4 linked regions of the Arabidopsis thaliana genome follow. The protein of the gene in region 4 purifies or fractionates together with the protein of the main gene of each other region. This does not show direct contact. Each region holds a gene or a part of one and is shown on either strand. Other genes may lie near its edges. The genes, in order: PKL, GTC2, RIN1 and ARP4.

Region 1 (5,028 bases), on a different chromosome or scaffold from region 4:
CCGTTATACTTGACATATTTTATATATTTTATTTATATAACCTATTTTGGATCGTTTCCAACTATAAGATATGGGGTTGATAATTTTTGATTGTACATGAAGATTTTGTGTCCTTTGTATTGTATTCTATAGTCGAACTTGGACCACGTGTAATAACACCGGAGCACGCATTTTATAAGCTTTATGCTAGTATCCATACGATTAAATTATAGTTCATCATCATTTGTTATACTATATATTGATGTCACATAATAATTCAGATTTAAATATGGTAATGTGTTTGTGAACTATCCAAAAAATTTCAAAGAAATATACCAAAAATTTAATAGTTAAAATCTGAAAACAAAGCATGTAATTTAAGCTACAATTGTTATTACATATTGTAAGGGCTACGCAATTAGTTCTTGACAGTTGGTTGACTACATAACACTTGCTGAAACCTACGTTTTAGCGTTGGATATCTCTCTATATATTTTTGGTCAATGTCGTTGGAGATTGAATCCTAGATTAAATCCTACAAGAAGAAGAAAGCTTCATGAGAAGAAGAAGATGAAGAAAAGAGAAGAAGCCAAGCTTGGAAGAAGAGAAGAAGAAGATGTCGTGACCAAAGGAGGAAGAAGAGAATAAGAAGTTGTCGTGACCACTGACCAAAGGAGGAAGAAGAGTCAACGACACAAATCCAACATAAGAACGGAGTTGGATTTGTGTTTTGTAATAAGGCCATTGGGCCGTAAGTGAATTATAGCCCCACAAGTGTTAGTGGGTTTGGTTGGTTAAGTTTAAGCTAAATAAGTTAAGGTGGATATAACAAACATAGTTGCACCAATGCATCTCAGCTCACCTGGTCTAAGCAACGGTTTCAAGAAGTTGCTCGCTTCTATTGCTCCACGCCTCCACAAGTAGCTCCTACACAAGAGTAATAACTCATTAGTATAGAGACACAAGATTATACAAGAAATACTTAGTAGACATAATTGTTCATCTCCAGTGTTAATCCTCAATAATTGTTCGATGCAGTATTCTTCTAATGAGATGAAAAATCATTTTTATAGAGTTACCACCCATCAAAACCATTTATACAAAACGTTTTACTTGGTCAGAGTAAAAAAATGCATACAAGTATTGTGTATAAATAAAAAGGTCATCTATTAATGTATAATCTGAATCAAAAAAAGAAAGAGCACCTGCACCAATAACAATGTGAATCTCATCAATGAACAAGATTGTTTGCCCATTCGAAGCATATACTTCCTTCAATATTGTTTTAAACCTTGTCTCAAAATCTTCTCCATAATTAGCACCAACAAGGAGTGAACCCACGTCAAGAGATTTCAGCTCCATGATAAATAGCGAAACCAAGCAAAGCATGTTAAATCTTCCTCTAGCCTCTTTGAGGGGAAAAGGTAAATAAACTTAAATATTTAAAAATATCTAAGTTTATATAATAACAATATTGGGTAAGTGAAAAGTAATTGTCATTATTTTTGACACTTATTTTTATAAGTTAGAAGTAATTATAATTTTTTCAAACAAAAAAGTAAGTTTTTTGTGTGTGAAAAAATAATGATATTGAGAAGGTAATTTAATTAGAGGTGATATTTTATACCTTAAGAAGTGTATTAAAGTTAATAATAACCATAAGTTAAAATTGGTAAGCTAAATGTTAGAAATCATTTGTGTTGTCTGAATTTTCAAGTTTCGTTCGTTTCGGATTACTTTCTTCTTCTGCAAAAACAGATCCCAACCATTTCAAAGGTTCGTCTTCTCCTTCTCTTCCACACTCTTCTCTGCTTCACTTTTTACTCTATCTTCGACTAGTAATATCGCTTTCGACTTCTCAAATTACTTCTCAAGTTACTATTTTTCTCTTCCTTTCTTTCAAATTTTCGTTACAAACTGAGTTTGAAACTGTTTGGGTTTTGTAAAGTTTTGATCTTTTCATGATATTGCGGTAAGAGATTGTTAATTCGACTTCTGGGTACTCACATTTCGATGCTCAATTGTTTATTCTTATGGGTAATTTTGGCTAGGGTTTTTTCCAATTTCTCTCTCGTTCTCTTTCACAAGGTTAGTCGATCTTGCTCATGTGGTATAGAGTTTGATGAATCGAGTTGTTTAGTAGCTATTGTACGAACTATCTCTTGATATAGTTGTAAAGGTTTTAGATTGGGAACAAAAAATTTCACTGTGATGTTTGTTTAGGTAGTAGAGTTCAATTGTGTGAAACTCTAATTTCATAGTTTGCTTAAGTCTCAGAACTAGCACTGAGTCTATTGTTATATGTGTTGTTTATGTAAGTTTGTTGTTATTGATGGGAGATATGTTTTGTGTGCAGAAAATGAGTAGTTTGGTGGAGAGGCTTCGCATACGATCTGATAGGAAACCAGTTTATAACCTAGATGATTCTGATGATGACGACTTCGTTCCTAAAAAAGATCGAACCTTTGAGCAAGTCGAGGCTATTGTCAGAACTGATGCGGTTTGTTTCTCCTCTCGAGCTTATTGTTCAGCTTTTACTGTTTTATGTGTTCTATTTTAATCCTTTTTTTTGTGTTGTTACTCTGAATTTGTAGAAAGAAAATGCATGTCAGGCTTGTGGGGAAAGTACTAATCTTGTAAGCTGCAATACATGCACTTATGCGTTCCATGCTAAATGCTTAGTTCCACCTCTTAAAGATGCTTCCGTGGAAAATTGGAGATGCCCTGAATGTGTAAGATTTTAGTTACGGTCCACAATTATGTTTTGGGATGCTACAGGTTCCATTTTTCTTACATGGAAGAATTGTTGTTTACATTTGCAGGTTAGTCCTCTTAACGAGATAGATAAGATATTGGATTGTGAAATGCGTCCTACAAAATCTAGTGAACAAGGTTCCTCCGATGCGGAACCGAAGCCAATTTTTGTGAAACAGTATCTCGTGAAGTGGAAGGGATTATCATACCTTCACTGCTCTTGGTAGTTACTGCGTGTCTTTTTTGCTGTCTGGACACGCTAATTATCAATGTTTCTTTCTGTGAACACTATAATATGTGATTTATTTCCTTTTACTAATCATAGGGTGCCTGAGAAGGAGTTCCAGAAGGCTTATAAGTCAAATCATCGTTTAAAAACCAGAGTGAACAATTTTCACCGTCAAATGGAGTCATTCAATAACAGCGAAGATGATTTTGTTGCCATACGTCCTGAGTGGACCACTGTTGATCGGATTCTTGCCTGCAGGTCTAGAGAATGGAATTAATTCCTTTATTTATCTATCTGCCAACTTTTTTTTTAATATCCTTGTTTTCAGCATAATCCATTCTCTAATAAACACGTATCTTTGATAGAGTGCTGCTTAACCTAAATTTACTGTTATCACGATTTTGGGTCTCTGAAACATGATAAATGACCTGCTTACCTTTTTTTTCTTCTTTTTAAGTTACCATTTTCTTAGTTGTTTCGTAAATCAGGAATTGTGACAGTTGCATTGGTTTCTTTTATGATATAGAGAGGAAGATGGGGAGCTGGAATATCTTGTCAAATATAAAGAGCTATCCTATGATGAATGTTATTGGGAGTCAGAATCAGACATCTCAACCTTCCAGAATGAAATTCAAAGGTTCAAGGATGTAAATTCTAGAACTCGCAGAAGTAAAGATGTTGACCATAAAAGAAATCCCAGAGACTTTCAACAGTTTGATCATACTCCTGAATTCCTCAAAGGTATTTGGATCACCTTAAATCATATACTATAAATGTTTCTTATATTTGGTACTTATAGATGTTATGATTTATTTGTTTCCTGCGATTGAAGGCTTGTTACATCCATACCAGCTTGAGGGACTTAATTTTTTGCGGTTCTCGTGGTCAAAACAGACGCATGTAATCCTTGCTGATGAAATGGGACTAGGTAATTTTTCAATTGTCCCACTTGGGTGGTCACATAGATCTTTTCATCCATTGTAAGGGGCCTTTGTTTTCTATTCCTGTAATGTTGTGAGATTTTTCCTGTTACAGGCAAGACAATTCAAAGCATTGCCCTTTTAGCTTCACTTTTTGAGGAGAACCTCATTCCGCATTTGGTAATTGCTCCTCTATCGACTCTGCGTAACTGGGAGAGAGAGTTTGCCACATGGGCCCCACAGATGAACGTGGTATGTATGCAGTTATACACGCAATGATCTGTGCCATTTGTATGTTTTTGTTGTTTGTTAATGGAATGGTCTTCGTGGTCATTTGACGGGTAGGTTATGTATTTTGGCACTGCGCAAGCTCGAGCAGTTATCAGAGAACATGAGTTTTACTTATCGAAAGATCAAAAAAAGATCAAGAAAAAGAAATCTGGACAAATAAGTAGCGAAAGCAAGCAAAAAAGAATCAAGTTTGATGTCCTCCTCACATCGTATGAGATGATCAACCTAGATTCAGCAGTTCTAAAACCAATTAAGTGGGAGTGCATGGTAACTCTTATTCTCTAATGAGACTTTACTTTCTCTTAGTCGTCTCTCTTTCTCTCTTACATGTTGCCTAGTAACAATTGTTTTGGGCAGATTGTTGATGAAGGTCATCGACTGAAAAATAAGGATTCAAAGCTGTTCTCTTCATTGACACAGTATTCAAGTAACCACCGTATTCTTCTGACAGGAACACCACTTCAGGTTCGTCATTTGAGTTTGATTTCTGAAGTTTATACTTTCAATAGTTGTATCTGAGCATAGTAGCTACGATTTGCAATGAGAATTGTTATATATTATCTTGCACTAATGTCTTACCTGATTAGTTGCAATATGTTACTGATGATTATGTGGTGCCTTTACAGAACAACTTGGATGAACTTTTCATGCTCATGCATTTTCTTGATGCGGGGAAGGTATCACAAGAATAGCAAAGATAAATAAGTTCGCATACTTAACAGAATTTTATGTAGCTAACATGTTATTTGATTGCACAATACTTGCAGTTTGGAAGTTTGGAGGAGTTCCAGGAGGAGTTCAAAGATATTAATCAAGAGGAGCAGATCTCAAGGTTGCACAAAATGTTGGCTCCAC
Region 2 (4,072 bases), on a different chromosome or scaffold from region 4:
AGATCCAGTTTAGTGGACATGTTCTTCTTCAACCCGTATACTAGGGAGCTTATAAACTTGCCAAAGTGTGAGTTGGCCTTTCAAGCGATTGCTTTCTCTTCGGCCCCTACATCAGGTACTTGTGTGGTGTTAGCGTTAAGACCTTTTACAAGATATATCATCCGTATAAGCATTTGCTATCCTGGAGCAACTGAGTGGATTACTCAAGAATTTTCATGCTCTCTTAGATTTGACCCATACATGCATAGCAACCTTGTCTATGCCAACGATCACTTCTATTGTTTTAGCTCAGGAGGTGTTTTAGTTGACTTTGATGTAGCTTCCCGCACAATGAGTGAACAAGCATGGAATGAACATAGATGCGCTTATATGCGTAATGATAATGCAGAATGGTTTAATCTTCCGAAGAGAATTTACTTGGCTGAGCAGAAAGGAGAGCTCTTTCTCATGTATACATGTAGCAGCGAGATACCGATGGTGTATAAACTTGTCTCCTCAAATTGGGAGGAGATAAATAGTACTACTCTTGACGGCGTGACAATCTTTGCAAGTATGTATTCCTCGGAGACGAGATTGGATGTTCTTGGGATGAGGAACAGTGTGTACTTCCCAAAGTATGGTTTAGATTGCAAGGGATGTGTATCCTACTCGTTTGATGAAGCCAGGTACTATCCGCGTAAGCAGCTTCCAAAACCAACAATATGGCAAATGCAGAAAGAACTTTGCCCTCTTAGGAGTCTGGATCGAGCCACCGTCTAAGGACATCTTAGATGTGATGAAATGATAAGCAAATGGATGATGGTAAAGGTAAGTGAAGCTAGCTTTGAGTTTTCCTATTTTATTTGATATATGTATTTGATCATAGCATGTGTGAAACTTATGGCGACTTTAAGATTCAGTACTGTTAAGCTTTATGTTTTAGCTTTCAAAGTCTTTGTATGTGAATGATTTGAGGCTATGTAAACAGTTTTATTGTTTAACTTCCATAGTCTTTTGCATGTGATTGAATTTTCATATCATTCAAACCGTAATTCTAGCCAAAACCTTTAACATGAAGATATACCCTTTTTGTGACATACTAATGCTAATTTTATTAATCCTATTGAGAATTTAATTTTCATAAGAATAAAATAAAATTAAAGATCATACCCAAAAAAAAAAAGTAATCACAACAACAAAATTTCTCTTTTAATTTTCTCTGATTCAAAACCCTAGCCGTCGTCTGAGCATGGACAAGTTTGTACTATCATGTTCCTCCTTTCTTCATCGACCATCAATAATATGAACTGCAGATTAGGGAAGGAGGTCGCAGATGGAAACGAAAGAAGGATATGAAGAAAGAAAAACGATCGAGAGCTACATATGTTCTTGAAGAGGTTATGATTTACAGTTTCTAAACCCTAGATCTCCTCATGATTTATTAGTATGACATATATATATATATATATAACTTAATACTTCTTCTGTTTTATATTAGTTGTAGTTTAAGATATTTACACACATATTAAGAAATCATAAAAATCTCATTTAATCTACTTTTTTATATAAAAAATATCATTAATTATAACCAATTCAACCAATAAAAAATATATGATTAAATACAATTGGTTAAAAAGTATTAAATATATTTATTATTTGTATATAAAGTTGAAAACAATTTGAAAAAGAAATAAAAACCCTTAAACTACATTTATATAGAAACAGATTTTAATGATAAAAAAGATTTCTTCCTTTTTATTATTTCCTTTTCTCTTTATGTTTGTGTTTACGTTTTCTTATAAATAGAGATTGTTTTCTTCTTAGAAGAGGCATCCGAAATAACTTGTTCTCGTTGAAGTTTACTTTCTTACGTTTTTTTTTCTTCTGTTCTCTTTCAGTTCTATAAAGAGGCTTATTACTTGAAGTTTGATTCTTGGTCTGTGGTTGTATTCGATCAGCTTGCTGGTGACATGTAGCTCTACAAGAATATTAACGACATACCCCAACCTAGGGATTTGATGATCACGGTTGATCACAAGAGCGACACTGTATTGTTACCAATATACGGCAGGATGGTTCCATTCAACGTGACTACAATAAGAACAGTCTTAGGCAATCAAAACACCATCCGTGTAATATTCAATGTCCCGGGTACACCCTTAAACCCTAATGACTCTTTGAAAAACAAGGACGCTATCTACCTCAAGGAGGTTTCATTCCGGACCAAGGATTCAAGGCATAGCAGCGATGTAGTTCAACAGGTTAAGAGCCTCAGACGGAAAGTCATGGCACGGGAGTCAGAGAGAGCTGAGAGAACTTCACTGGTGAACCAAGAAAAACTTCAGATTGTAAGGAACAACTCAAAACCCTTAAGTTTGTCCAATCTGTGGATCCGTCCGCCTTTTAGTGGACGCAAGAAGAATCGTGGGACACTTGAAGCTCATGTCAATGGTTTTAGGTATTCAACGACCAACGAGCGCGTTGATGTCCTGTTTGCAAACATAAAGCATGCGTTTTTTCAGCCGGCGGAGAAGGAGATGACCACCCTCTTACATTTTCATCTCCACAACCACATCATGGTAGGAACCAAGAAAACAAAAGACGTACAGTTTTATGTGGAGGTAATGGATGTTGTGCAGTCTTTAGGAGGTAGGAGGAGATCATCAGCTTATGATGCAGATGAGATTGTTGAAGAACAGAGAGAGCGCGATAGGAAAAATAAGATCAACATGGATTTCAATCACTTTGCAAATCAGGTCAACGATATGTGGCAACTACCCCAGTTTGCAAGTTTGAGCTTAGAGTTTGATCAACCTCTGAGAGAGTTTGGTTTCAATGGTGTCCCCCACAAGACATCTACCTTCATAATACCGACCTCAAGCTGCTTAGTTGAGCTGACAGAATCCCCGTTCTTGGTGGTCTGTCTAAGTGAGATTGAGATTGTGAATCTTGAGAGAGTTGGGTTTGGTCAAAAGAGCTTTGACATGGCTATCATCTTCAAGGACTTGAAGAAAGATGTTCTTAGGGTTGACTCAGTTCCAACAAGTTAGTTAGAGGGGATAAAGGAATGGCTTGACACTACAGATATAAAGTACTACGAGAGCAAACTGAATCTGAACTGGAGACAGATCCTGAAGACGATCACGGATGATCCGCAGAGCTTTACAGATGCTGGAGGATGGGAGTTTTTGAATCAGGACGGAAGCGATTCAGAGTCTGGCGGCTCTGAGGACTCAGACAAAGGGTATGAACCATCAGATGTGGAGGTTGAGTCTGAGTCAGAGGACGAGACATCAGAGAGTGAGTCAGACGATGAAGAAGAAGAAGAGGACTCAGAGCAAGAGTCAGAGGAAGAGAAAGGTAAGACTTGGGCTGAGCTGGAGAGAGAAGCTACTAATGCAGACAGAGAGCATGGAGTTGAGTCTGATAGTGAGGAAGAGAGGAAGAGAAGGAAGATGAAAGCGTTTGGGAAATCGCGTCCTGGAAGTAGCGGTGCAGGCGGTAGTAGCAGCATGAAGAACATGCCACCATCTAAACGCAGCAGGCACCGGTGAAAACAAAATAATCAAGAGTTTGAGTTCTGCTTGCTTATCATTTTAGCCTTTTGTTCTGCTTATCTTTTGTATCATATAAAAAAACTGCTTTAGATTATTATCTATCTATTCTATGCCCTTGGGAAAATAATGAAGTCTTAGGTTTCTTGTCGTTCTTAATAAAATTTGTTTCGACTTAAATTGGCAGAAAATACCATTGTGGCATCCTCTAACGGTTGGTCTTGTAAATAATTAAAGGGTATGCCATAAACCAAAAGGTAAAAATGAATACTTAAGTTATTAAAGAAATCTTGGATTCACCATTATTATTATGAGATACGAAGATGTTCCCACTATTAGTGGTGGTGAGTTTCCTGTGGGACAAGCAATAGAAAGGTTTCCAATCGACGATGTCTAAGAGACAAAACACATCAAAGCTCACAAGCTCATTCACCCATCTCCCTGCTGATGCTGATCTTGTCTTCATCACCCATGCATCAACTTCAACTTAATTAGCTTATATACACAACTCTCTCTGGTATATATAAGAAGAGTAATAT
Region 3 (5,865 bases), on a different chromosome or scaffold from region 4:
AAGAAAACGTGACCAGACTAAAAAGTTGTCAAGGTCTTTACTTTTTAGACTTTTTTTTCAGGAAGATATCAGGAACAGCTTCACGTGATAGACCATCAGCGTATCCATACAAAAGCTGAAGGTACAAGCAACTGCACTATGATCAGATTTGGTTAGGAATACGCGAGTGCTCGATCAAGCATGTTGCAGAACTATATCTTACAACGTCAAGGTCTATTTATGTACAAACCAATTAAAATAGACAACTAACCTGAATAGAACCCCAACTGCATAACTGACTGCAGCCTGTCATATGTCAGAATATTTCTTTCAGACACATTTTCGTATAGAGAAGCCATAGTATAAACTGGTTAGAGCTTTGACAGAGCTTACCTGAACTGATAAAGCTAGTAAACAGTATCCGCTGCATCCAGTTCCAATTACAATCGACAGGTACATGAGTTCACGCTTCAGCTACAAAAATAAAGACACAAACGCAGCAATTTCAAAGTTCATTCTACACAAATTGACTACTGGTACATACTGAACAGCCATTTTGCATAATAGAGTGTTTTGTTGAATCATAAAGATCTGACTGGCAGACTAATTAAGAAAACATACTGAAAGGAATAATCATACAGCTTCATATTTCAGAAAGTTAAACTTCTTCCTTCTCTCGCTGTCATCTCGTAGTGCCTGCAATCAAGGAAGTAGGACAAACGCAGCAGAGTTTTGCAATGAGAAGGACGTGTGAATGAATGAATACAGAGAACAAGAACATTCATAAATAGATGACCAACCTTAGCTAGAGCTTTCTTATTCATGGGGGCAGAATCACTCTCCCAACCAATCCATTCTTGTGTCGGTTTAAGTTTCAAGAAACCACTTTCATCATCATCAGCGCCATCTATCAAGCTTTCCTGCATATACAACATAAAGACATTAATAAAGGAGCTATACCAAGTTACCAACCAAAGTAACAGTACCAAGTATAAGATTGTTGCCATGAAAGCTATAAATTTGTGAGATTTCAGAAATTCACAAACCAATACTGGATTTCATAAAAATGTAGTCACTCACATAACAATTGCAACAGGATCATATAACTATCAAACTATTCCTCGATACAAAGTTAGCAATTTTAATCGTCAAAAGCAAACTTAGAACTGAAGAAAAAAAACTAGCTACAGTTACTAATGAACAAGTGAAAGAAACTTAACCCGAGTATCATCTAGTTCAACAGCTGAAGAAGAAGCTCCATTGGAATTAACATCAATAGATTCGAGAATCTCCTTTAACCAGAGCCTATCAGAAACTTTAGATATGAAATCTCCATTTTCTTCTCTGTCTTTCATGAACATTTGCAACACATCCTCCTCCACTAGCTCACTCACTAAAAACAAAGCAAAAGACATGAAATTTTCCACAAAGAGCGAACATTTGAGTAGTAAGGTTCAATGTAGAGAGAGAGATTGTCACCAGAGCGAGAAGCGGCATTAATGGCGGCCAAGCGATGGGAATTCCTGTTGGGAGGTCGCCGGAGATGATGCGGCGGAGAAACTCTCACCTTCGTCGGAGGAATGGTTCCGCCGGAAAACCAAGAAGCGGCGGGAATCGAGAGACTCTCCATGTAGCGAGAGAGTGAGACGGCCTCTGGTTTTTTTCCAGAAGAAGAAGCTTATCACTATTGTTGATGAAGAGAAAGAAAGTTTCCAAAAAGAAGACCCTTTTATTATTCATATATTATAATTTCACCCCTTAATTTACATTTATGACTATTGAGTCCTGTCTTTTTGTTTCGCCCTTTTCTCTAATTGTTTTCGTTTTCTTTCTATTTCTGAGTTTAGGAAGTGTGGGGTGATTTTGTAAATAAAGGATAATATAAAGGCCCATTGTTGCAACAACATGTTTAACATATAAACTTTGTTAGGAAGAGGTTTTGGCAATTTGGAGTCAGAGGGAGGCGTTGCAAACTCAATAAAGCTCAAAACTTTCCGCCGTCGTTTTCGTCGTCGGAGAATACAACAAAAGACCTAAAGCAGATCAAAGTAATTGTAGTTGACGGAGATGGAGAAAGTAAAGATTGAAGAAATTCAGTCCACCGCTAAGAAACAACGGATTGCTACTCACACCCATATCAAAGGCCTTGGCCTCGAGGTGCTCCTTCTCCTCTCTCTCTTTGACTCTAGTGGATTCCAGTAGTTTGCTCGAGTTTAGGGTTTAGTTAAGGTTTTATGTTCTAAGCTTTTTTAGGGTTTTAAAGCTATTTGCTTCGTTTGGTACTACGCTTAGAGTTTCTTTTCTCTGTTCTAGCACAAACAAACCCTAGTTTTCATTTGTAAAGTTTCGACTTTTCTGGGGATAAGATGCATTGCAGTATTCTCGTATTGCTCAAAGTTCTTTAAGGTTTTGTGTTTAAAGTTTAATGATTTTTAGGGGTTTCAAGCTCATTGCTTCGTTTGGTATTCTCCGAGACTCTTTTTTCGGCTCTAGCACAATTATACTCTAGTTTTGATTTGCAAATATTCAATTTTAATACATGTATTTTATGAAATATATAGTACTTGACCGATGTTTGAAGACCTTTGCTCTTCCACTTTGGCACGGCACTTTGATTTTAATTAACTATCTTTGCTTCTTTTACTGACTGTAGTTTCTCAAGCATCTGTGTGATCTCGTTCTATAACCAGTACATCATTTCTGTTGCTAATGTTGCGTCTCTTTTTCTAGCCAACTGGTATCCCTATAAAATTGGCAGCTGGATTTGTTGGTCAACTTGAGGCTAGAGAGGCAGCTGGTCTTGTAGTTGACATGATTAAGCAGAAGAAAATGGCGGGCAAGGCTCTTTTGCTTGCTGGACCTCCTGGAACTGGGAAAACAGCTTTGGCTCTTGGAATCTCTCAAGAGCTGGGAAGCAAGGTAATTTTGGATGTCTCATTTTGTATCTTCTTTGTTACATTGTTTCCACATGGCTTCATTGTATGAAGCTTTTTTCTTTTACTTTTAGCTTATTTTATCTGGATTGTTTCTTTCTTGCAGGTTCCATTCTGTCCAATGGTTGGATCTGAGGTTTACTCATCAGAGGTTAAGAAAACAGAGGTTCTCATGGAGAATTTTAGACGTGCCATTGGTCTACGTATCAAGGAAACCAAAGAAGTCTATGAAGGGGAGGTGTGTTGCTATTTGCGGTTTCTTTTGCTGTGTTCTTATGCAATAGCATGTCTCGCTAATTGGTTTTTGACATGTTGTCCTTGTGTTCTAGGTCACCGAGCTGTCACCAGAAGAAACTGAAAGCCTCACTGGAGGTTATGGTAAAAGCATCAGCCATGTTGTAATTACACTCAAGACAGTCAAAGGAACCAAACATCTGAAATTGGATCCCACTATCTATGATGCCTTGATTAAGGAAAAGGTCAGTTCTTGGCATGCGATGCTATGCTTTGGATGTGGTATTTTCCCCTAAGTTTTTGCTTTTCAGTTTGTTCCAAAACCTGCTTTTCTTTTCACCTTTTTGGTTTTCTAACGATGTCATTCTGTGGGGACAATTGTGTATGAATTTGCTGATTACTTTGTCATTCTGATTGGTTTCTTTTTATATTTTTGCTGTTTGCCTCTCAGGTAGCTGTAGGAGATGTAATCTATATCGAAGCAAACAGTGGAGCTGTCAAACGGGTAGGTAGAAGTGATGCTTTTGCCACTGAATTTGATCTGGAAGCAGAAGAATATGTTCCACTTCCCAAAGGAGAGGTCCACAAAAAGAAAGAGATAGTGCAGGTTTACCTTCTTTGACCTCTCCCTTCTGTGTAGAGTAATTATTTTCTTTGTTGATTTATTATCTGTTATGTATTAGTTTGTATGTGTATTAACCTTAGTTCCTAAGTTTATTAAGACTACTTGTTACTCAACTAGACCATATACTTTTGACTGATAGGATGTCACACTCCAAGATCTGGATGCAGCAAATGCTCGACCTCAAGGTGGCCAGGATATACTTTCTTTGATGGGCCAAATGATGAAACCGCGGAAGACTGAGATCACTGATAAGCTTCGGCAAGAAATTAACAAGGTGATTTTCGCTAGTACATGGGTGATTTTTTTAAGCATCTTACTTTCTCTTTTGCAAGGTCTAATATTTTTATATGCCATTGTAGGTTGTGAACCGATATATAGATGAAGGTGTGGCAGAGCTTGTTCCAGGAGTTCTATTTATTGATGAGGTATTTTCCCAAATAAAGTTTTTTTTCATTCCACTATTGATCTTGCTCAGGACTCAGGAGCAGTAAGAATACCTTTGTTTAATTATAAAACCTCAGGTTCATATGCTTGATATGGAGTGCTTCTCATACTTGAACCGTGCTCTTGAGAGCTCATTATCTCCGATAGTGATATTTGCAACAAATAGAGGTGTTTGCAACGTAAGGTGAGAAGAGCGCTAGACCTTGATAGACATTTTCCTTTGGAAATCTTGTGAGTTTTTGTTAACTTGGTACTGTGATTTACTTTATTTGCAGAGGGACTGATATGCCCAGCCCCCATGGAGTCCCTATTGATCTATTAGATCGATTGGTTATCATCCGGACTCAAATCTATGATCCCTCTGAAATGATCCAGGTTACTCAATTGTCATTTAGCTTTTGGATTTCAATTACTACGAACAACATTCTAATAGATTTATCATTTTGTTCACAGATTATAGCCATTCGTGCGCAAGTTGAAGAATTAACCGTGGATGAAGAATGCTTGGTTCTACTTGGGGAGATTGGGCAAAGAACTTCACTAAGGTACTGTCATCATTGCTTTTCTAAGCAAAATTTCTGTTCGTGAATCTAAATACTAAAACCTTTTTTGTGCTTTCACTCTCAGGCACGCTGTGCAGCTTCTGTCTCCTGCCAGCATTGTAGCGAAAATGAATGGCCGTGACAATATTTGCAAGGTAGATTTACTTGTGAAATCTTAGAACAATAAAACAAATGTAAAATATGTGGATGTTATGTTATTAATCCTTCATCTTAAATTTTGACAGGCTGATATAGAGGAAGTAACATCACTCTACTTGGATGCTAAATCTTCAGCAAAGCTTTTGCATGAGCAACAAGAAAAATACATCTCATGAGAAGAACACTAATCGCACATTTTGTTGAAACATCTCATAATTTTTCTGTCGTTTTATTTTGTAATGTCGGAATATGGAGAATGTCTAATGGGATTACAATTTGGTTTCTCTGAATTCATTTATTTATGTGCTATTTTTTTGTTTGTGGTGCTAACTAATGAAAACTGAAATATGGTTTCACGTGTATACACATACATGGTCGTGAGATTCAAACTTTTGGTTTCATATTGAGTTCCCTTGTTACATTACAATACACTTATTCAAGATCAAACTGTTTGTGGAACATAACATTGTGTAATTGTCTATTTGGTTACTGTTAAAAGTTGATGTTGCGCCAAAAAGAAAGAAAAAAAACTCTATTATCAGAACAGAGTCAGCAGAGTCGGAGATTATAAAACTTGAGGATCAAAGTGGGAGGAGTACCATAAGAGGGTGTCCCTGATCCGTACAATAATAACAAGGTCAAATGTATAAACAATAGAAAACTGTGGGGTTTTTGGGTAAAGACTTATCACGGTTGGGAACAGAGACAATCTTTTGAATAAGGTGAAACCAAAAGACTAGGGTTTTGTGTGACAAGGAAGAAGACGAAGACGGCGATGAATTCGTTAACCGTTGAACAAGTATTGAAAGAGAAGAAGACCAATGACCCAGATTCCGTCAAGGAACTTAATCTCGGCCATAAAGCTCTCACCGACGTGAGTATTGTTTCTGTTCTGAAACTCTGTTCCCAAGTAGAAATTGATACGAAACCCTAATTGTTTAATTGTATA
Region 4 (6,286 bases):
GCCATGGCTCATTGTTGGTTTGGGTAATCCCGGCAAGAAGTACCAGGGCACGCGCCACAACGTATGTCTCTCTCTTGCTTTCTCACTTTGCATTTTCCTTTTCAGCTCGGTAACGTGATCATGAATTGCAGGTTGGTTTTGAGATGGTGGACGCTTTGGCTGATGCAGAAGGCATCTCCATGAACACTGTTAACTTCAAGGCCTTGTTTGGGAAAGGTTCTCTTTTTCATTCTCTTATCTTCTCCATTGTGAATTTTCATTTTGAAATGGTTTTCTTATCTCAAAGTTTGAAACTTTCAAATTTCATACGTCTCAAATGTTTGATGAGGGTGATAGAAACAATGGCTAACTGTTTCCGGAGAATGAATATTGAAATAAATATCATTTTCTGTCTCTGGTTTGTTTCTAACTTTGGGTATTGTTTTCCTTTATCATAGGCGTTATTGGAAATATACCGATTATGCTGGCTAAACCACAAACTTTCATGAACCTAAGTGGTGAGTCTGTAAGTGAGCTCATCGGAAACAAACTTTGGTTTATTTAGTTAACCAATCTCTTTAACTTTTATCACTTGTTATTTTGATTCTTTCTGTTTATGATTGCTGGAATTCTTTGAAGGTTGGACAAATCGTTTCATTTTACAAGATCCCGTTAAAGCAAGTACTTGTGGTATACTTAACCTTCTCTCTCGCTTACTCTCCAAATTCTGGCTCTAGAGTGCATATGCCGTCTTAATTTTTTTTGTCTTTTTCAGGTTTACGATGATTTAGATTTGCCCTTTGGTAAACTACGTTTATTGCCAAAAGGTGGTCACGGAGGCCACAATGGGTACAATGCTTTTCACTCTCTATCTGGCCTGTTGATGTTTTCATTTGTGTTTTAACTTTTAAGTATTGTCTTACTTTTTACTTAAGAAGCAATGTGGATGGATAATAGTTTGCGGTTTCACTATCAAATCATAGAGAAACTCTACAAGAAAACATGATGGGTTGTTCTTTTACTTGCAGGATGAGAAGTATTATAGACCGCCTCAAAGGTAGCCGTGATTTTCCTCGACTAAGAATAGGTACAGTTCTCATTTTTCTCCACTCCGACATATCTTCCCATTTTCTTCTCTGGTTTTGCAAATTGTCGAATGTTTCATTTCAGGGATCGGACGTCCTCCAGGGAAGATGGATACAGCCAATTTTGTTCTCCGCCAGTTCAATAGACAGGAACAGGAAGAGGTAGAAGCAGATTTATCCCATAATTATCTCAAAAAATTTCAGAAAGACATAACCTGATTGTTTTTGGTTTTGCAGTTGGATCACACATTCCAAACCGGGTTAGAGGCAATAAGGATTCTTTTGCTTGAGGGGTTCAACAAAAGTGCAACATTTGTCAACACTCGAAAATCTATGGAGCAACTCAGTTAGAAGTGACATTGTTACATTACATATATTCATATAACAAACTACAAAGTGTTCTTGCTGATTCATTAATAATTTTTTTTTGGTTCCATACTTGAATCCTTTTTGAGCAAATTGTACATCAAAAGATAACCAGATTATTTGTTTATCATAATTTCTATTATGTAACTCGAAAATATGGATTTCAGTATTTGTTCGGCTGTAATTTAAATTATACACTTTCATTAAGCATAGACATTTTATTTGGCAATAAATCAGCTTCGTTTACTGCAAAAAGGGTGGTCACAAAAGTTGGTTCGGTTTAGAAAAATTGTGTTCGGTTCGGTTAGTTTCTTGAATAATTTAAACCCGACGGATTAAATGAGAGGTTTTGTGGTCCCCACAACTCGAACTCAGTAAAACCAAGTCGACCCGATTCAGCTGGATCCGAGATTACAGAGAACCCCGTCCCGTGTTTAAACCCTCCGGCGACAAAGCTCAGATAGAGAACCGCTCCACCCTTGTCGTTCGCTGCAGCCATGTACGGCGGAGGTGGGTTTCTCTTTAAACCCTTGAATTGCTTTGTCGTTTATCTTTTGAGACATTCCTGAGCTGTTTTTTTCCGTGGTGGGTTTTCACAGATGAAGTGTCAGCTATTGTGGTTGACTTGGGTTCGCACACTTGCAAGGCTGGTTACGCCGGTGAAGATGCTCCCAAGGCCGTTTTCCCTTCCGTAAGTCTTAATTACCAGCATTTTATGTCACTATAAGCTTAATGGTGTTATTGTAGATTTGCTCAAGTCCCTTGTATCTTCAGACTCTTAGTTTTTTTTTTGATGTGTTCATAAGGTTATTGGGGCAGTAGATGGTGTAGAGGCAATGGATGTGGATGTTGATTCTACAAAGACTAATTCGAACTCTGAGGATTCGAAGACCGAGTCTGAAAAGGAAAAGAGCAAACGCAAGCTCTATGTAGGATCTCAAGCCATGAGCTACCGCAGAGATCATATGGAGGTTAGTTTTTCTCCTTGATTAATGTTAAAGTTTATAACTTTGTTGGTGAAATTACAGATTGCATTTTCTCTCACCAGGTTTTGTCACCTATAAAAGATGGCATCGTTTCTGACTGGGATTTGGTGGACAATATATGGGAACATGCTTTCAAGTAAATGTGTAAAGCATTATATTTTCTCTTAATTGTTGTTTGCATTTCATCTCTAAAAAAACTTTGTCTTTTAAGGAGTTGTCTGATGATTGATCCTACGGAGCATCCAATGCTGCTAGCTGAGCCTCCTTTAAACACTCAACAGCAGAGAGAGAAGTATGATTTATCTGCTTTGAAATATCCTTTATTACCACTGTTGCTTTATCTTGGTGTGTTACTGATTTTCTCAAATCATATGCTTGACAGGGCGGCAGAGCTAATGTTTGAAAAGTACAAAGTTCCGGCACTGTTTATGGCTAAGAACCCTGTATATTCCCTCTCCCTTGGGTCATCATTCTTTTTGATAGATTATTATATGACGTTCACTGTAATGTTGATATCCAGTCAGCTCTTGTGTAATCAGATGTCTAACTATCTACATGAATTTGGTGTTTTTGGTGCTAGGTTCTCACGTCTTTTGCTACTGGGCGTGCTACTTCTTTGGTTGTTGACTGGTAAGACTTTAAGTATTAAAAGTTTCTCTAGTATGTAGAAGCTACTAATGTTCCACTTCTGCTCTATATGCTGTGAAAGTCTACCTTGTTCTGTATGGTGTATAATTTGAGAAGCACTGATGACACTTTATTGTATTTCTAGCGGTGGAGGATCCACAACCATTTCACCGGTGCATGATGGTTATGTTCTTCAGAAGGTACTTGTATTACACGATTTAGTAAGAATTCAGCTTTGTGATGCTGTTTCTTTGGGTTTGGATTTTGTACTGCAGGAGAAAGTTTCCCATCTCTCGTTTCCATAGTCATCTGTAGCTGCTATAAATTCTCATCCATGTGAATTATGACCTACAGCATTGATGTAGATTGTGATTCTCCGATTGTTGACCATACTTTTATTCGCAGGCTGTTGTATCGTCTCCACTTGGAGGGGAATTTCTCACTGACTGCCTACTGAAAAGCTTGGAGAGTAAAGGAATTAAAGTAGGTTAAAAAAATTCTTCACTGTTCTTTTCTTTTAAGCCAAATTATCTGAGTGATACTGGTTATTTTTTCTGCAGATAAGACCTAGATACTCTTTCAAGAGGAAGGAAGTACGAGCAGGGGAATTCCAGGTGCATATGTGGATCAGTGAATGAAACTACTAGCAGTGAATAGTCTCTAATTTCCTCCCTTTGAATCCTTGCAGGTTGAAGATGTGGATATTCCTGACACCACGGAAAGCTACAAACTCTTCTGCCAGGTCTGTAATTGATTATGAAACTTCGTTTGAAAATTTCAGTTGTGATAATTTGGTGATTTGTTTCAACAGAGGATGATAGTGGGTGATATCAAGGATTCCATTTGTCGAGTTCCTGATACTCCCTATGACGGTACCTTATGTTATTCTGTCTGTCTCTGGTTTCATAAATTTGTTTTATTTCAAAGTTTAAAGTTGCTTGAGAGTTGAACGTTAGATACTTTTTATCTTTCAATGTCATTTGATCGCATAGCCTTAGTTTTTCTGATGTGATGCATTTATCTGCAGATAAATCATATTCAAACATCCCTACTACGTCGTACGAGCTTCCTGATGGCCAGTAAGCTCAGTTTATATGTCTATTTCGGTTTATTTGTGCCTCAAATGTACATGCTACTGTTGCTTTTGTTTTCTACGTATAAGGTTTGAGCTTAGTTTCTAGCCAAATGTACCACTGCTCTGAACCTTGTTTAAGCTGAGATAAGTGCTTAGTTGGATCTGAGTCATTAAAGCCATTGGGCATAAAAGTTTAGAAGAGTCAGACATTGCTTTGGAAACCTGCATGGAACCTAATGTTCATAATGAGAATTAAGTTAAAAGAAAAAGTGCTAGCTTCATTGAAGACAGGAAGCTGCACCTGTAATTTTTGTAGTCTTTCTCAATATCTTATTAACCATGTCTGTTGAAGGACGCTCGAGATTGGTGCTGATAGGTTCAAAGTTCCTGATGTGATGTTCAACCCGTCCATAGTCCAGGTACACCATTTGAGCACGATAAATTCAACAGAAGATTCTGAAGACATTTTGTTTCTTATCTTGAGCGTTTTGAGCCTCGAATTATTTATCAAAGGTTTCTTCTCCGTTTTTATTGCAATTTGCAGACGATTCCTGGAATGGAGAAGTATGCTGAGATGATTCCTTCCGTTCGTGGGTTACCACACATGGTATATGCATGGTATTTAGTCATTGCAAAGCTTCCATCTCTTAACTTTTTCTAACTTTACTCTCCATTTTACTGACTTGTACAGGTCATGGAGAGCATCAACAAATGTGATGTAGACATCCGGAGAGAGTTGTATAGTAGCATACTGGTAAAATAGCAATCAATGCCAACTCTTAAATACCCCTACTTTTAGTTTCGTTGGATGTGGATGATTAACATTTCCTTTCTTCTCGCATTATGCCAGCTTGCTGGTGGCACATCGTCAATGCAACAGCTGAAAGAACGTCTCGAAAAGGACTTGATCGAAGTATTGTGTCCTAAACTCTTTTCCTCTGTCTTTAAAGCTATCCCAGTTTTTATGATGGCGAAAATCATTCATTGGTCCCTCTATCTTTGTTTCAGGAGTCTCCTCACTCAGCTAGAGTTAAAGTGTTGGCAAGCGGTAACACAACAGAAAGAAGATTCAGGTCTGGATTTAGTGTTCACTTCTTCCTCTATAATGAGACCCAAATTTTTTTGCTTGGATCAACCAACAAACATGTTATGTATGTGCAGTGTATGGATAGGAGGGAGTATATTGGCATCACTAGGCTCATTTCAACAGATGTGGTTCTCCAAGTCTGAGTAAGTCTCTGTTCTGATTTTCCATTAATCAGACTCGCAAAGAAACTATAGTTTGTTTTCTCTCCTGACACTCGGATTTGGGGTCTTGGTGTAAATGGCAGGTATGAGGAACATGGAGCTTCCTACATTCAGAGAAAATGCCCTTAAAGCAGGCAGTTTCAGATTATGTGGAGTCTGACAAGACGAAACTTGGAAACTAATGTGTTATTTTCATTGTGCATCGTTGTTCCTTGAAGATTATTAGTATTCCGCCTGAACCTTTTAGAATGAGTGTCATTAACAAGCATTATAGTGCTATTTTAAAAACATAAAAACATGTGGAAGAAGTTTCGTTGCTTTATTAGATTTTCGCACAATCAAGACCGTCCACGTTTTGTTACTACGAACCAAGATAATCCACAAAATTAACAAGAAAATAACAAATCCGAAACTACAAAAAGCAGCTTCATAAGTTTTCTTTTTCTTTTTTAAAAAAGAAGAAAAAATCAGCTTTATCGTGCCTCTCAAAAAGCTAATGACTTCGAAGTTCCAAAATTCCGGTCTTCGAACATATTTTATAGAATAGCAAAATGTTTTGAACCACAAGATTATTAATAATATAAATAATGTAATTGATATTGGTAAGTAATAATACTTTTATTAATCATAAAATGGTCTGAATAATAATAAAGACAAAATGGACGTAACTTCTCCGCCACTACAGACTTACGTGTCATGTCTCCATATCCGCATGCAAAATCCAATAGATGACACATTCTAAATCATCCAATTATATACGCCCACGTGTCAACCTCTGTCTCGTCTCTCTAAATAACGTTTACCGACCTTCTCTTGTGGACGGTAAGAATCGCCGGCGTCCCCTAATATATCGGATTTCAATCCAAAGACACACTCACAATTTAAAAAAAAACGTTTCTTTTCTCTTCGATTCCCGATTA

Evidence for each region.
Region 1: the proteins of ARP4 (region 4) and PKL fractionate together in Arabidopsis thaliana (co-fractionation; one large-scale study listed by BioGRID). This does not show direct contact.
Region 2: the proteins of ARP4 (region 4) and GTC2 fractionate together in Arabidopsis thaliana (co-fractionation; one large-scale study listed by BioGRID). This does not show direct contact.
Region 3: the proteins of ARP4 (region 4) and RIN1 purify together in Arabidopsis thaliana (affinity purification with mass spectrometry; 2 studies listed by BioGRID, with this or other methods). This does not show direct contact.

The regions. Positions count from the first base shown.
Region 1 is NC_003071.7:10,712,073-10,717,100, forward strand, and holds the start of PKL (chromatin remodeling factor CHD3 (PICKLE)), read left to right. Parts: upstream 1-1,992; coding exon 1,993-2,067; intron 2,068-2,335; coding exon 2,336-2,479; intron 2,480-2,573; coding exon 2,574-2,711; intron 2,712-2,801; coding exon 2,802-2,956; intron 2,957-3,058; coding exon 3,059-3,220; intron 3,221-3,488; coding exon 3,489-3,703; intron 3,704-3,794; coding exon 3,795-3,890; intron 3,891-3,997; coding exon 3,998-4,134; intron 4,135-4,227; coding exon 4,228-4,440; intron 4,441-4,530; coding exon 4,531-4,638; intron 4,639-4,799; coding exon 4,800-4,850; intron 4,851-4,940; coding exon 4,941-5,028. Other genes in the region: AT2G25169 (uncharacterized protein), read right to left, coding at 534-643, 842-906, 1,271-1,386, 1,859-1,942. UniProt on the Arabidopsis thaliana protein: Chromatin remodeling factor that represses the expression of embryonic trait genes (such as NFYB9/LEC1) upon and after seed germination and thus enables the developmental switch to post-germinative growth. Silences some MADS-box proteins such as PHE1 and PHE2.
Region 2 is NC_003075.7:6,582,730-6,586,801, forward strand, and holds GTC2 (GTC2), read left to right. Parts: upstream 1-1,997; coding exon 1,998-3,029; 3' UTR 3,030-3,533; downstream 3,534-4,072. Other genes in the region: AT4G10660 (CDC68-like protein), read left to right, coding at 1-759.
Region 3 is NC_003076.8:7,390,253-7,396,117, reverse strand, and holds RIN1 (P-loop containing nucleoside triphosphate hydrolases superfamily protein), read left to right. Parts: upstream 1-1,837; 5' UTR 1,838-2,046; coding exon 2,047-2,136; intron 2,137-2,709; coding exon 2,710-2,898; intron 2,899-3,018; coding exon 3,019-3,150; intron 3,151-3,241; coding exon 3,242-3,391; intron 3,392-3,597; coding exon 3,598-3,753; intron 3,754-3,910; coding exon 3,911-4,045; intron 4,046-4,130; coding exon 4,131-4,196; intron 4,197-4,292; coding exon 4,293-4,399; intron 4,400-4,490; coding exon 4,491-4,590; intron 4,591-4,668; coding exon 4,669-4,760; intron 4,761-4,842; coding exon 4,843-4,912; intron 4,913-5,002; coding exon 5,003-5,092; 3' UTR 5,093-5,322; downstream 5,323-5,865. Other genes in the region: AT5G22340 (NF-kappa-B inhibitor-like protein), read right to left, coding at 42-131, 251-285, 373-453, 619-675, 780-899, 1,200-1,372, 1,459-1,609; AT5G22320 (Leucine-rich repeat (LRR) family protein), read left to right, coding at 5,692-5,790. UniProt on the Arabidopsis thaliana protein: Proposed core component of the chromatin remodeling INO80 complex which is involved in transcriptional regulation, DNA replication and probably DNA repair.
Region 4 is NC_003070.9:6,346,272-6,352,557, forward strand, and holds ARP4 (actin-related protein 4), read left to right. Parts: upstream 1-1,776; 5' UTR 1,777-1,927; coding exon 1,928-1,940; intron 1,941-2,029; coding exon 2,030-2,121; intron 2,122-2,236; coding exon 2,237-2,401; intron 2,402-2,478; coding exon 2,479-2,552; intron 2,553-2,627; coding exon 2,628-2,708; intron 2,709-2,798; coding exon 2,799-2,859; intron 2,860-2,996; coding exon 2,997-3,046; intron 3,047-3,188; coding exon 3,189-3,243; intron 3,244-3,448; coding exon 3,449-3,526; intron 3,527-3,603; coding exon 3,604-3,657; intron 3,658-3,731; coding exon 3,732-3,785; intron 3,786-3,854; coding exon 3,855-3,915; intron 3,916-4,070; coding exon 4,071-4,122; intron 4,123-4,470; coding exon 4,471-4,537; intron 4,538-4,662; coding exon 4,663-4,725; intron 4,726-4,809; coding exon 4,810-4,872; intron 4,873-4,968; coding exon 4,969-5,031; intron 5,032-5,126; coding exon 5,127-5,191; intron 5,192-5,279; coding exon 5,280-5,348; intron 5,349-5,449; and 3 more. Other genes in the region: AT1G18440 (Peptidyl-tRNA hydrolase family protein), read left to right, coding at 1-61, 132-216, 438-505, 619-669, 755-828, 1,008-1,066, 1,150-1,226, 1,302-1,415. UniProt on the Arabidopsis thaliana protein: Involved in several developmental processes including organization of plant organs, flowering time, anther development, flower senescence and fertility, probably by regulating the chromatin structure.